3 linked regions of the Arabidopsis thaliana genome follow. The protein of the gene in region 2 interacts with the protein of the main gene of each other region in a pairwise test. Each region holds a gene or a part of one and is shown on either strand. Other genes may lie near its edges.

Region 1 (4,440 bases), on a different chromosome or scaffold from region 2:
AGGATGTGCAAAACCGAGTAAACGGGATGATTAGGCGCAAAATTGAGATTGGTTTCTAAGTTATAGCATTTAATGTAGCTAGTACCTCAACATTTTATTTTTTTATTTTTTTCTATTTACATTCTTAGCAATATCAGTAACATGAGAGCATGTCGATCTCATCTATTTCAGGATGTTTCAACAAAATTAAACATATTTTCAAGCCATTTGAACAGCATTAAACAAATAAGTTTGGTTATGTGATTTGAGTAGTTGTACGAGAGAATGTTTATAATTCAATGAAAGAGGTTCGCAAACAATGAAATAAGCAAGTGCAAGAGCACAAAAGAGTTAACACACGACAATTTAACAAGATACTAATGAGTAACTAATAGTCAAAGAGTTCATAAGATGATTTTAGGCAAGACTTCATTGCAGGAATGGATACGGAAGCTAACTTATTTCCAATTATTTTCTTCATTGATACTTAAGAATTTTGGATCTCAGAGTATCTGAAGGCCAATTCTATCGACCAAGTTTGGTCCAAATCAAGAAACCTACGCTGAGGCAAAAGGATGAAACAAAGTAGTTTAGAATAGCATTATTGATCTGCTCATTTGAATGTAAACGTAAAAAAGAAACCCAACAGCATCATCATTTGAAAAGAAACCATACGTATGATGATGCTGTTGGGTTTCTCTTTTACGTTGTTTTGTGCATATGAGTGTAAAATTTCAACATCTAGATTTCAGTAATATCGATATTTTTCATGATTATTCATACAACAGTTTTAACAGAACTTTATATATACACGTCACTTGTAAGCTGCGAAAAAAAACTAAATAGGAGAATTTAAAATGGAGGACAGTGTAAAAAGATTCATGTAACGATCCAACATTTCTTCATAAAATTCTAACGTAAAAAACAATCATATTGTGAGATGGTTTTAGAGAAAGAAACAAAGTTCCAAAAGACACATTCGTTCTCAAATCAAAGGTACTATGTAACCTTAAATAAGACCAAAAAGAAACAAGAAAGTCCTTTTCAAGGAAGATCAGATCCAGCAGCACCACCACCGAAACCACCAGCTCCACGACCAAACCCTTGCCTAGCTCCACCAGCTCCACCCTGTACATAACCAAAACATTTAATTACACACCAACATAATTGCATTGCATTCTAGCAATCATGAAACCACCATTACTCATGATAGAAAGACCTAGTGGCAGAGCATCGAATATTTAGGGAAGCCAAGTGCACAACAGATTAAAGCAAAGCAATTTACACAAGGTGCTTATCAGACAGAGTTCATAAAATGATTTAGGGAACCTAAGAACACAACATGTTGTTGAAAGATAGTGGCTTCAGAAGTTTCCTCAAAATTAAGCATGATACTAATGCGTAACAAATAAAAGTGTTCACAAGAGTTTGACAAGAAAGGAGAGATTTGGTACCCTGAAGCCAGGCTGGTAATCAGCAGGTGCTCCAGCCTTGTCACCATACTCTCCACCTGATTTAGGACCTCCACGGTATCCATCTCTGTCACCAAACCTCCTCTCTCCATCACCACGAGGAGGGCCACTGTATAAAACCAAATCAACACCGTCACATATCAACACTTAACAAGTAACCATGATACAATAACAAGACTGAGAATTGAAGATTCAAATTGATTACCGGGGACGGTCACCACCACCTCCAAAAGGTCGACCAAGAGGCTTCTGTTGCTTCTTCAAAGTAGCAGGAACAATCTCAGATGGGAGATTAAGGTAAGTCCTGAGAAAGTCAATACCTTCATTTGTGAGGAACCAGTAGTAATGCATCCAAGCAAAGGTCTCTCTCACATATTCCTTAGATTTGAAACTCTGCATCAACTTGATAACTTGCAGATTTGGAACACTCTCAATCAAAGGATGTTGTGGTAAGTTGAAATCCTTTTTAGCAAACAAAACACCCTCTGCACACAAAAAGAACCAATTCCAACCATTTCTAAGTACAATTCTCTTGAATCAACCAATCAATCATCATGCATAAACCCATTAACGTAGAAGACAACTAGATTCATAAGCTCAAATCAAAATGGTACCTTTGAAGAGGTACTTGGAGATCTCACGGCGGTTAGTCTCTGATATGATCTGCAAATACGAGAAACAAGATTAGCTTTTTTATATACAGTTTGAGTATACTCAGCATTTTGAAATCAGTATTTGATTCACGTAAGGAGTGATTTAGGGTTTAGAGATGTTACCATGATTGCGATGAGATTGAAGAAGGAGGCGATAGAGAAGGTGACTGCGTTTGTATGTGTTTTGCTTTAACTTCTTCTCCTAACGCGAAACCCTAATTTCGACTGAAGCCGCCACTTTTATAACATGTTTGTCTTAAGGGTTTATGTGTGTCCCTAATTGGGCCGATATAAAAAAATGTTAATGGGCTAACATGGCCCAATCTAATTTATTTTATACCCAAAGTTATTTAGCTTTAGTCTTTCATATATTAAATCAGGACATTTTCTACTTCAGTAATTTGTGAGAAATTTCATCAAGTAGACTGTAGACATAAAAATTGCTGTAAGAAAAAAAAAAGACTGTAGACATAAAAGATACAAGAAATTTCATATCACACGATTTACATATATAATTTCATACTTCTTGGTTTAAAGTTACAGTAATATATAATTCAAGGTAGAGTGCATTTTTCCAATTCAACGTTTGCTCTTCCCTCTCTCTGGTATTTGTTTAAAAACAGGTTCCTCACACTCTTCCCTCTCAATAGTGGCAGTTTTAGTTTTGGAACTTTTATTTCCCAAACGTTGCCAAGTTTGATTCTTTTGGTCCCTTGTCAAAATGGATAATGAGGGAAATGATTCCAGCAGCGACGACTCCTACACGGGTGGCTTTGAATTCCGACGTAGAAAAAAACGTCCGCATGAAGAAGCGTCCAAAATGCCAACGATCATAATATCAGACTTAGAATCAGAAACAGAATGTGCTTCCGAGGAGAGTATCGACAAGATCAAAACTGTGAGTGTGTATTCCTTCTCTTTCTCTTCTTTATGTAAGAACATCTCCAATGCCTAACTCTATTTTTTCCTTTATTTTAGAGATGATTCTATTTTAGAGAAAATATAGTTAATTTTGCTCCATTGTATTTTCAAAATAGAGTTAACTCTAAAATAGAGGAAAAGTGTAGAGATTGCTCTCTATATATAGAGTAAAAAATAAGACTACTCTATATTTTTCTCTATTTTAGAGTCATACATTGGAGCAAAATCAACTATATTTCTTCTAAAATAGAGTTAGGCATTGGAGATGGTCTAAAAGTTTGATGCTTTTTTACTTATACGTAACCCGATGTAAGCAGCTGTTGAATTACAATAATATGGAGACTGATAATGGTGACAAGGAGAAGAGTGAGGAAGATGACTTGTGTGCTCTGAAGGATGCACTTGAGGCTGTTATATTGTTTCAAGGTTTAAGTGAATATCAAAAGAAGTTGATGTTTCCAAACTTGAAGAATCTTGGAGCTGAAACAATTAAAGAGCTCATCGATGAATGGAAGGAGTTGAATGTTGAGGAGCTAAATTTGAACATCAAGAAACAAACTTTCTTTACAAAGTTTGCAAACGCTAGCTGGAGTTTGATGTTACTTATTCAACAAGAAAATAATTTCTGCTTTTGGATGTTTTATGTTATTCCTACTTCATTGTTTTTTGTGTGTTGTGTGTTGCTGCATCTTTTGAATGATGGATCCTAATAGAATGTGGGTTATTTTAAAAGTTTAATGGATGAGAACTTCACAGCTTTTGTTTTACTGTCTTTTATTTGTTGTGTTGGCTACTACAGTCAGTTTCACAGAAAAAGAGAAGTTATCCCAGAGTTACAATGGTTCTGAATAAGCCATCTATTGAATATAACAATGTTTCCTTATTAAATTACATTGAAATCAAACACGTAAAGATTTAAGAGAGGAGACAATTCAAAACGATTTGAATCTAGGATCACGTATTCCAATCTCTCTACAGATTTGGATAATCAGAAATATTCAAAGACACTAACAATCCGTAAATATAATGGAGGTTCTGTTTTGTTTCCCGGACCAAAAATCCTGTGACCTGTATGAAATTGTCAATATATCTGCAAACCACAGTCAATTATCTTGTCCTCATTGTCCTAGTGTCAGCTTCCAAATCATAGGTTGTAGCAAAACCAAACATAGTTAGATCTTTCAAATTGTAATGCAGGTTCCATCCTCCCCAGACCATGCTTCTTAAGACAAGTCCAACAACTTGTATATTTACTGCTTTTGATGTTTTCATCTTCTGCTTCATAGTCTCCATCTCCAGCATTCGCGGCTACTACTCTCAGCATCAAAGTAGTCCTCTTCGCTGCTGCTGCTACTCTCAAAATCAAAATATTCCTCTTCGTTGCTGCTACTTTCAGCATCAAAGTATTCCTCTTC
Region 2 (7,068 bases):
TGCCTAAAGAATGATGAAATTCGAATTGAAGAAGGAGGAAGCGGGCAATGAGAAGCGGGACCCAAGCTTGTAAGCAGAAGAACAAGTGTTGGAAGATTTGACCAGAAAGAATTCAGACAAAAGAAAAATCGGAACAAAACAAGTAACTTCCGAGTTCCGACACCAACCCAATGATTTCTCGGCTTCTTAATAATACACTTCTGCTTCGATTGAATCTTCGTGGCTTCTTCTTTCGTATGGCTTTTCAGATTTGAATGTCTGAGCGCTTTCGCTCTTCTGTGTTTATTTTAGCTTCGATCGCTGCTTATTGGGTTTTTGTTGTTCGTTTTTCTTCACTTTTGTTTCTGTCTGTTTTGTTTTTTCTCTCTCTCTTTCTGTCTGTCTTGATAAAATTGGTTATTGGGTTTCTTCTTTTCGCTCGTTATTGCTTTTGTACTTTGGTAAGAGATTGTGTAACACTAGATTGAACCCATTTGATTATATTCATCTTACAATGTTTTGATCTGAGTGATCTCATCTAATATTGGATCATGTCAGAATTTGTTTACTTGACACTTTACGAGGTTAAAAGATGAGTGGTGTTAGTACTTGAGATTTCCCCCAAAAAAATTAGGTGTTGGCTTTTTGGTCAAGTAAAAAAGATTTAAAAATTTGGCATCGAACAAAAGAAAAAGAGTTTCAACATATGGAAACTGCAAACTACAAAGCTTCGTCAGCTGGAACGAAACCAAGCTTCAAACTTACAACATTAAACATTAGAGATTTCAGACAAATGAAAGAAACAACAGAGACACAATTCCACATAACTCGACAAGACAAATCCTCCTAACTCAAATACTACAAGATAACCTAAAAAGATAACGAAGTGACCAAAGACCAAACACAAACAGAGTGGGATTCAAATCTAAAAGAGATGTCACATAATCCTACCTCATCATAATACTCTCCTACTGCATTGTGTTTGTTGTGTACAGCTCATCTTACAAAGTTTATTTGGCCCGTCCTTTGCCTCGACCTCCTCTGCCTCTTCCTCTACCTCGGCCTCTTCCTCTTCTGCTGTATGCCAAGACCTTGGTATTTCCCGGGCTGCTACTTGCTGAGTTTGAGTTAGGTAGAGACTGGTCTCCTGGGAGCCACTCTTCTTCATGGGTGCTTGAACTGTTAGAGGCACTTGAGTGGCTGTCATTGCTTTCGTTATTAATTGCACCATCTGAGCCATTCCCTACTGTCATATCATCACCATGAATTTCAGCTATAGGCTGAGAAGCCTTGGTTTCTTCTGGTGGTGTGGGTTTTGGTTGACCTTCCATAACCGCTGGTGAACTGAAAAAGTAAGGCTTTGCTTAGGAGGAAATAATGTCATCATGTCAAACTAGCCAGACAAAGGAGTTGCTTTTCACCTAGGTGATGAAGATGGGAAACCGTTAGAAGTATGACGTGATGCGCCTATTTCATCAGCTTCTTTTGATGTTTCAAACACATCTTTAGGGATGCAAGAGTTCCCAGTAGGATCCAAAGTTGCCCCAAGAGCCAAGACAGCTGCATCAATAGGAGCGCAAGTAAATTAAGAGAACCCAACTAAAAATCAGAACCAAAGGAATTCAACATCCAATGTATACCATTTGTGGTGTTTCCGATAGTAGAAGTAGGTTGGATAAAATCGCCATCTTGATCATTGAAGTCATCTACAGCAGTTCCACTGTCGCATACAGTTGAAAAACTTCAGAAGATTGATATACTAAAAAACATATCTGTCAAAAAGAAACAAGGTACAATCTGTGTTGGAAGGATAAGCACAATAAAAAGAACCTTTGAGGAGCGGTATTCGTATCTTCAGATGGCTTGACTCCTTGTGTGGAGATAAATGTCTCCTCCAAACCAACTCCACCTAATCAGAACACATTAAATCCATGAGACAGAGTATAAAAAGCGAAGATGAGAGAGTGTATACAAATTAAGGATTAAGGGAGAAACTAACGAGATCTAGTGTGTAAAACTCCTGTTTCTTTGACGGCTTGATTAGCTTCCGTAGTCTTCACTCAAGTAAAACACACAAGGACACCAAAACAAGAAAGATTGGAACTGCAAGTTTTTTCTTGGTAATGAGAGACACATAGTGTAAAGAGTGCTTGATACCTGATTGTGCTCAGAGGTAGGTATGGCTGAATTTGGTAGAGCTCTGCTTTGTTCATTCCGTACAGCTGAAAGAACAGAAAAGAAGAGTTAATTTCAGTTTCAACTCATGTCTTACTGAAAAACTTCTTCCACGTGTGAATAAAGAAAGAAAAAAAACACCTCCATCAGCATTCAAAGACGAAGCATTTCCTTTGAGCATATCAGTCGCTAAAACATAGGGGCTGTATTTAGGTTCCAAAGAGGCTACACTACTGGGACTTTTAAGCATTTCCTCGGTTGCTTTAGCTCTGACTTTGCGAATTTCATCTTGAATATTCCATGACTGATTAGAACCGGACTTCCTTTTCAGCTGCATTTGGTAACCAATGTCAGAATGAATAAGGGTAAATTTGAGAGAGCCATTGAAAATACATATAACGGTATGCAACTTTTCTTTAGGAATAGCTGGAAATAGTGTCCCACAAATTCCTCGTGGTTATCTAACATAAACAATAGAAGTTAAGCAGAGAATTTTATCTCATAAACCAAGATGAAACGACTTCAGACTTTCAAACAACATTTGACCAAAAGAAAAGTATGCACTGCTGGAGAACTTAAAATTCTAACCTTGGATGAGGAAAAGTTTCCAGCGCTATAAGGAAGGGGTGTCCCTTGCACTCTTGCTGATGATGGTGATCGAAAATCTAAATTATTCGCAGCTGGAGATCCCCATGGCAGACGAGCTCGCATATAAGACTTGGCCACGTCCACAGGCGATCCAGCACCATCTTCAGTTGCCTGGAGATTTAAACTAATGGCTGAGATGGTGATCATCATTTAAAGTACAATGGAAAAAGAATACTGTGAAGCGAAGCTATCAGAAGTTGACCAAAATCATGTAAGTAAATGGTCTTCATAGTCAAAAGAAGAGCAACAATATGGATCTTTTGCATTTTAAGCGGACAAAAAGGTATTTCCCAATCAGGACATTTCAGAATTAACGTCACCAGATGGCCACACGCAGAATTCTGAACAACCTACTTTTGCAAGAGAGCTTTAAGTTGCTGATCACATGGATTGGCATATAACAATCAAATCATTTTACCCAAACAGAAGATGTCTCCTTCTATAATAATAATGGCTTAGAGCACGGAGACAAGATATCACAAAAAAGTTGATACCTGCAGGCTGCAGCAATTAGAACAGTTAAGAAGCAAGTTTCCAGAACTTACTTTATACTTTGAACTTGATCCTGATTTCTTCTCCTCCAACCATTTTCTTGCTTCCATGACAGCTGTATTGGACATTTCACCCACATTCACGTCTAGAAATAAAATAGAAAAGAAGACGTTATCACATAGACTAATCCGGTCTACTTGCACAGTCTACCATCAGTAACATACCGCTTGTCAATCCATAGTCATCATGACTCGTCTCAATAGCAGAGGGGACGCTGGGATGATCTACAACCCTAGCCTTGATGATATCTATTAACCTATCACCCTCTTCCCTGAAACAACATACACATGAATGAATAAGCAGGATACAAGATCAGCTTAGATTTGGTAACTACACACGTCTCAGAAAGATTCTTTAAGCTATGAGGTGTAAATAATAAGAATAGTCGAGGAGGCTGCTACTTATGATGTCCAAAAAGCCAGGCAGAGAAATACCTTGCAAATGTTTCTTGCAAGAGAAGCTGCTCAATTACACGCTTAGAACTGAGTCGTTGAATGCTTGGTTGCTGGGCACTCAGAAGGTCCTATTCACACAAGCACAAAAACTGAAATTATGCTTTTATAAAAAAAACTCTCAGTTGAAAACGTGTTAGCTTCACGAACTTTACTTCAAACAATTATCATAGGACTACAGTGGCATAGCAATCACCAAAACGAACAAGGTGGTTAGTACCTCTTCAGTAAAATCGGGATTGTTCTTCTCAACATCCTCATCACCATCAATATCTGCAAACAAAGAAGAAAACATATAAAAATCCATACATTAAAAGAATAAGACACAACAAAGCTGGTTGGTATTCTCAATCCCAGAACTACATTATATGAATAAAAATTAGAGCTTTAGAATTAGTATGAAGTTTATAGCTTAGAAGTAACCTAACTAAATAGAGTACAACAATGCTTAACTGCTCTTAAGTCCCACATATTAAAGGAAAGAGAAAATGGGAAAGCTTTAAGTCAAACTTCACATTTCAAACGAAACGGTAGCTTTCAGATTCGACCAGACAATAAACCAAAAATTCAAATTAATCCTATCTAAACTGAAATAAATGGTACAAACCTGAAGATGAATCCTCGTCCTCCTCCGAAGATGAGGAAGAGTCGGAGAAGACGACGGAAGAAATGAATTTTCCGGCGCCGGAAGCAATTACGCTGGCGGGTTTGTAAACGAGCCTGGAGATCCAACTAGGGTTTTGCTGAGGAGGATCTCGGGATCTCTGAACGGGGCGCTCACACGGCGTCCTGACAACAGCGGTGCGTCGTGGTCGAACAATTTTCCCACCGACTCGAGGCTGACCTGCTCCGGCGGCGTAACCGGAGACGGAATCCATGGTGAAAGTGAGAGGAGGAGGGAGAAGTTCGTTGTAGGAAATAATGAAAGTGTTGAGGAAAAATTGGTAATTTCTCGTTATTTGTCGTCTTCTTGTTTTTTTTTTTAATTGGGGGTGAATAGTTAGTTTCCTAAATTACAGGCCTGCGGTTAAAATTTCTTCCACTAATAAAATTAGGCAAAAACAAAACATTGCGATTAAAAAAAATTAATCGTAGTAAAATCATGTATTATATTCTTCTCTTTTCATATTTTGAACATATCACATGATGTTTAGATCTTATAAATGCAGTAATTTAATAGAGAGATTAGAATTTGGAAGAAAAAAAAGTTACATGATTAAACGAAGTAATTAATCAAGTTGTAAGTAGTTATTTTAAAAACAATATTAGAAAAATGTTTTTTGGTTACTCATACAGTAATACTTAATTCGTCAACTGTGTCAGTGTTACAAAAAGGCTAAAAGAATGGGCCAAATGGGCTACTCTTGTATCGGGTCAGGAACGGGTCAGTTCCAACCCGATCGGATCTAAAATGGGCGGGGCGCCTTCCTTTTCATTTTGATGGCAATCAATCATCATCAATCGACGCTTTTTTAGAGACAAACACGATCGCCGATCCATTTACGAGCCGTCGTTGCTCTACACATATCAACAACAAATCTTATCCTCCCAACTATCTTTTCTCTGATTTTCTTTTCTTCTCCAGTTTCCATTTCTAGAATCGATCGATATTGAAGGAGAGAAGATGCCTGGTTTAACATGTAACGCGTGTAACATGGAGTTCAAGGACGAAGAAGAACGTAACCTTCATTACAAATCCGATTGGCACCGCTACAATCTCAAGCGCAAGGTTTCATTTCTTCTGCTTTCTCTATCGAATTTGAACTCAAGCCTATCTGTTTCTCGGGAAAATCTTGCGTCGGTGATGAGATGAAAGTTTCTGAGAAACAGCTTTTCCATTTTGCTATCGAAATTGTTTAGTTAAGGTTATGGAATCGTAGAGTTTATATGAAAATTTGTTTTGAAGCTTATTCTACTAAGGAACAAGGATTTCAATAATCATAGATTTGGTTACTTCTAGGCATTTGAATCTTTGTATTTCTGTAATTTTTTATGTTAGGTGGCTGGAGTTCCTGGAGTTACAGAAGCCTTGTTTGAGGCTAGACAATCTGCTCTTGCTCAGGAGAAGAATAAATCAAATGAAGCACCTATGCTTTATACTTGTGCAATCTGTGCTAAAGGTTACAGGAGTTCCAAGGCTCATGAGCAGCATCTTCAGTCGCGTAGCCATGTTTTGCGGGTTTCACAAGGGACATCAATCAACGGAGAGGAGGATATAGCGATTATCAGGCAACTTCCTCGCCGTGTTCAACACAGGGGTTCCATTGATGATGATAGTGAAGATGAATGGGTGGAGGTTGATTCTGACGAGGAATTGGCTGCTGAAGAAGCCTCTGATTCTTTGTCTAAGTTGAATGTGAATGAGTCTGGATCTGCTGAAGATATGGATGATGATGGTGATGCAGATAAGTATGAGCTGGATCCAACCTGCTGTTTGATGTGTGACAAAAAACATAAGACCTTAGAGAGCTGTATGCTTCACATGCATAAGCATCATGGTTTCTTTATTCCCGATATTGAGTATCTCAAGGATCCTGAAGGGCTTCTCACTTACCTTGGTCTTAAGGTTTGGACTCATCAATTTACCATTCAGTGTTCGTTGTTGTCAAGCTTTGAAATTCTTACTCCTGTTTACTTATACATTGCTCATCATTTAGGTCAAGAGAGACTTCATGTGTCTGTACTGCAATGAGCTGTGCCGTCCATTCAGCAGCTTAGAAGCTGTAAGAAAACATATGGAAGCAAAGAGTCATTGCAAACTGCATTATGGTGATGGTGATGATGAAGAAGATGCTGAGCTAGAAGAGTTTTATGACTACAGCAGCAGGTTTCAACTCTCTTCTATCTCTGATTATTCTTGTTCTCGCCTGTATTCCTCGTTCTATGCCAAATCTTAATCCGCACCTTTCTTTGGAATATATGAATTGAGCAGCTATGTTGATGAAGCTGGAAAGCAAATTGTTGTATCTGGTGAAACAGACAATACTGTAGAACTCGTTGGTGGTTCTGAGCTCTTGATCACGGAGAAGTCCGAGAACACAACAACGTCTAAAACTCTCGGGTCCCGTGAATTCATGCGTTACTACAGACAGAAGCCACGCCCAACTTCTCAAGACAGCAACCAGATAATTGCCTCTTTATCTTCAAGGTTTGTTTTCTCCAAACCCGTTAATCATCCGAGTCTATCCAATCAGATAATCGGCAAGGTAAACTAAGGTTATTCCAACAAATGGTAAATTCTCAGGTACAAGAGCCTGGGTCT
Region 3 (4,110 bases), on a different chromosome or scaffold from region 2:
TCATGACGAGAGCATTTGTACACTCCAACGCGATCAATCTTTGTGTAAAGGATTTGTGTGGTGTTGATATCTTTGTTTGGAACGAAATGGATAAATATAGGTAGGCTCTAGTTGGGGATTACTTTGTTATAATTTCTAACAGGTTCTAACTACCAAAATTCAGTGGTATTTTGGTGGATTAATTTGGCCGATTAGTTGCATATTTTTAGAGTTTAGTCTATTGAGTTAAGCTAATTACTCTCTTAAAACAAATTTCGTTTATGTGATCAGTTTAAAAAATATATAATTGTTGACACAAATTGGTAAAATTTTGTCTCCGATTTTTTCAGCCAAAAAAATTTGAAACACTAGTGGTGTAGTATATATGTGATCCGCTCCATTTTTTCATATTTGATTTTCTTTCTGATTTTTAATCTATCTTGGAGGTTTAGATATTCATTACAAAAGTCAAATTTATGTTTTTGCTTCTTAGTTTTACATATCCAGAAAATTTGATTGAATATCGTATTCACTCCATAAATATTATTAAAACTAAACATATTACCTTAAAAATGTTATAAGAAATAAAATTGAATAAGAACATATTTAATGATTAATAGATATACATTTCATATTTTTATATTCATTTTTTTATAGAAATACACATGTATGCATTTTTTATGGATATTACTTTGCCCAATCATGGTTAAAGGCTTAAAGCCATAAGTGTTACAAGACTCTCAAGTCTCAATTATCATTATTGGGGAAAACTCCAGTTGACAGAATTTATATTAACACATTTGCTTACAAAGAGATCCCATTACTATCAAATTCCCACGAAATAAAACAAGTCACCACAAGTGGCCTTTCCACACTTTCTTATCTATAAAAAAAAAAAAAAAAACGTAACCGCTTAAATTGTGTTGCATGAAGCGTGAAGCATGAAGAAGAGTTTACTCACGTTACTCACGTATGTAAGTAAACAGAAACATATCACAGACTATGTGTCCCAATCAGTTTTGTCAAACCAAAAGTAACGGCCATAGCTAACCATCCTCCAATCAAAACCCTAGCCGACGACTTAAACACCGGTGCTTTCCCCAAAACCGCTCCTAACCACCCAAACATCACTAACGCCAATGTCACCGCCGCCACGATCGCTCCTATTCTCACGTGATAGTCTTTCACAAACGCAGCCGCCATTAAAGGCACAATCGCACCCAAAGAAAACGCTAACGCAGACGCGGCAGCCGCTTGCATGGGACTCGGAAGCTTCTCTTTCTCCACTTGTCCTCCGTTCTCTCTCTTCATTTGAGCCACCTCGATGTCGTACTGAGAGTAAACGGAGACAAACTCTCCGATAGCCATGCTACAAGCTCCGGCGACCAAACCGGCGAAACCAGATAAGATCATGACTTTGACGTCTTGCTTTACCGCACCGACACCCATCATAAGTGAAGCCGTCGAGACAAGACCGTCGTTGGCACCAAGCACGGCGGCTCTTAGCCATTGAGCTCTTTTGGAGTAGTCGAAAGCCTTTTCTTGATCCATCTCCATGTCTAGGTTCAAGCTGTTGCTCACGTTGTGTGATTCCATGGTAAAGTCTTTTGGGTTGGCTTTCTGTCTTTATGTTTTTGGTTTGTGCTGAAATAAGAAGGTAGAGAATATAGGTGAAGTGTGGAGAACACACGCCTAGGTTCTATTTATGGAGAGATTGTGTGAGTTTTTAGCTTTTTTTATTTAACTTTTTAAAATAATTTATGTGGTGGAGTCGACGATTAATATATGGGGAGCATCATCACCACTAACGGAAATACTTTTTATTCTGTCTTTTTCAAAAATTTAGATTAGGAAATCGAATTAACAAACATCTAATCGTTTTTACACTATGATTATAAGTTTGAAACGAACAAATGAACTTTAGAAGGAAAAAAAAAAAAGTTGATTGCCGCGTACCATCGGTAAAGATAAAGCACAACGATTGGTATAACTGTACCCCCAAAAATGGATCTCAATTGAATTAAATTCAAAAGGAACTTAATACTTTTCAAAAAAAAAGTTACAAATAATCAAATATAAGAAGAAAGGAAATGTGAAAGTATACATTTATGTGTCTTTTTCATTTCATTTGATTCGTGAAGGACAAAAAACAAATATCAATTTGAGAGACCGAAAGGGGCATGCAGTTACATACTTACACTATGGAGTTGTTAAGTCGTCGTCAAGATCAAAGCCATAATATGCATATATGTCTTCTTGGCAAAAAATTATACAAAATTAATATATAAAAATGAAATCTCAACCTCCCAAACGATTACCTAATGTTACACGAAATGTGTTGGCCAAAAGTTTATTATAAACATATAATACTTTAGTTTTCTTGGTTTTACTTTTATTACCAAGTTACCAAATTAACATTCCTTTTGGCAGCTGTACTACTATATTGACTAGAGAACACCATATTCAAATTTGGCAAATGCTTTAATCTACTTTCTTGAATAATCAATTGGGAAAAGAAATCTTCAGGAACGTCTTCGTATTCATGTACATTGTATTTTTCTTTGAAAAAATGAACTTTTTGATCGGAGTGTGGTTGGTAGTTACATTTTTTAGAAGAAACGTAACTTGGAATAATATATCAAAAGCTTTCTCAAAGTGTCAAATTTTGTCTTTTTTTCTTTTACATAACTTGAAACAAATCAGTAGCGTATATGTCATATTTATTTTATCCTATCCCCTTAATTTTAGAACACGTAAACTGTGAAAGCATTTTTCTAGTAAATAAAAATGAAACAACAATCTCATTCTTTTACTTTCTGTTTATTTTTGTTGGTTAATTATACCTTTTTTCTCGACAAAGAAACAATCCCAAAACAGAAGGGGGGCGAATCAATCACACATAGTGTTTGGATCTCTGGATTTTCTTAGAGTTTGACCAAAAGTGATCAACGGATAATCTATTTATTGATAAGACACTGTTATATTTTGGAATTGTTTGATAAGTGTAATCATATTCTACATCTTCTTTTCATTGAATTTAATAAGAGGGATTCATTAATTAGGAAGAAAAAATAGGTCAAAAAACATGGATTAGTTAATACAGCTCCTTGTTGATAAACGGACACATAATGGACGATTAAAATATGAAATAGTAGAATCCAACTATCTTATATATGAAGGGGATCAAAATTGAATCAGATACTTTTCACACTATAGATTCTTTGATCCAGCGCAATTAGAGCCGTATACAAGTGAAAATCATAAACAACAAATTAATAGTAGATAATGAACACATTACACATAAAAGCTAGGGTTTTTTTTGGTTATATAAATAAAAAAAAATAAATTTTTTGATGGATTGGTGAATTGGAAAGCACTTAGAGATAGATTTATGGTGAGATAAAATAATAGAGAGAGATCATAATAATATTAAAGAAAGAGGGACGAGTGTGGTTTCCACACGAATAGCACCACATTTCACCATCATCGTCACTTGTTTGCACACACACTAACACACATACGTAGACATCTACGTATTATGTTTCTTCATGTATATGCATGCATACGTAGTCGCCTACGTACATATATGCCAGCACATTATTAACATTCCAGAATTTACAATTTATATAGCGCATACTAACTATAAGGTAATTCTTTTTGGTTTTTTTTCCCTATGATTCACACACTGCATTCATATAATGGACAGTCCGAAATAAATAGACAATGAAGACATTAGTCGAAATTACTAAACCGCTTACGAATTATGATCACGTATGTTTTCATGAATTCAAAGTGATTGATTTATAATTCGAATGTTGGAGTACATGTTATAATGTCTCCAATATTTTTCAAGCATTGTATATATTATTACTATTAGTAGTATACACTATAGAATTTGTAGAGCGGCTTGATCAAAAGCAAAATTCATTAATTTATTATTTAAATTTGAAAATATTGATCCTAAATCAAAATAATGCATGGTAACATATATGTTAATTGTATATTCCTTATTATCTCCCTATATATGTAGTGAAAAGTATGTTATTGTGCCTTTTATAATGATAATGATGGATATAGACATGCATATGGATTTCAACTTTACTATTGTGGTCCAAGTCCTAGTCCTACTGA

Evidence for each region.
Region 1: the proteins of AT4G31430 (region 2) and RPS10B interact in a two-hybrid assay, tested with the Arabidopsis thaliana proteins (one large-scale study listed by BioGRID).
Region 3: the proteins of AT4G31430 (region 2) and AT1G21140 interact in a two-hybrid assay, tested with the Arabidopsis thaliana proteins (one large-scale study listed by BioGRID).

What each region holds. Positions count from the first base shown.
Region 1 is NC_003076.8:16,608,354-16,612,793, forward strand, and holds RPS10B (RNA binding Plectin/S10 domain-containing protein), read right to left. Parts: upstream 2,340-4,440; 5' UTR 2,231-2,339; coding exon 2,228-2,230; intron 2,115-2,227; coding exon 2,066-2,114; intron 1,937-2,065; coding exon 1,657-1,936; intron 1,561-1,656; coding exon 1,434-1,560; intron 1,108-1,433; coding exon 1,024-1,107; 3' UTR 668-1,023; downstream 1-667. Other genes in the region: AT5G41530 (uncharacterized protein), read left to right, coding at 3,307-3,735; AT5G41540 (Disease resistance protein (TIR-NBS-LRR class) family), read right to left, coding at 4,306-4,440.
Region 2 is NC_003075.7:15,246,126-15,253,193, reverse strand, and holds AT4G31430 (flocculation protein), read right to left. Parts: upstream 4,818-7,068; 5' UTR 4,685-4,817; coding exon 4,414-4,684; intron 4,080-4,413; coding exon 4,027-4,079; intron 3,878-4,026; coding exon 3,789-3,877; intron 3,626-3,788; coding exon 3,519-3,625; intron 3,440-3,518; coding exon 3,348-3,439; intron 2,914-3,347; coding exon 2,743-2,913; intron 2,486-2,742; coding exon 2,296-2,485; intron 2,202-2,295; coding exon 2,137-2,201; intron 2,034-2,136; coding exon 1,979-2,033; intron 1,889-1,978; coding exon 1,810-1,888; intron 1,700-1,809; coding exon 1,620-1,699; intron 1,540-1,619; coding exon 1,401-1,539; intron 1,324-1,400; coding exon 990-1,323; 3' UTR 635-989; downstream 1-634. Other genes in the region: AT4G31420 (Zinc finger protein 622), read left to right, coding at 5,431-5,535, 5,806-6,372, 6,464-6,633, 6,736-6,954, 7,051-7,068.
Region 3 is NC_003070.9:7,401,929-7,406,038, reverse strand, and holds AT1G21140 (Vacuolar iron transporter (VIT) family protein), read right to left. Parts: upstream 1,712-4,110; 5' UTR 1,576-1,711; coding exon 973-1,575; 3' UTR 613-972; downstream 1-612. UniProt on the Arabidopsis thaliana protein: Vacuolar iron transporter involved in the transfer of iron ions from the cytosol to the vacuole for intracellular iron storage. Involved in regulation of cellular iron homeostasis. Vacuolar iron storage is required for seed embryo and seedling development.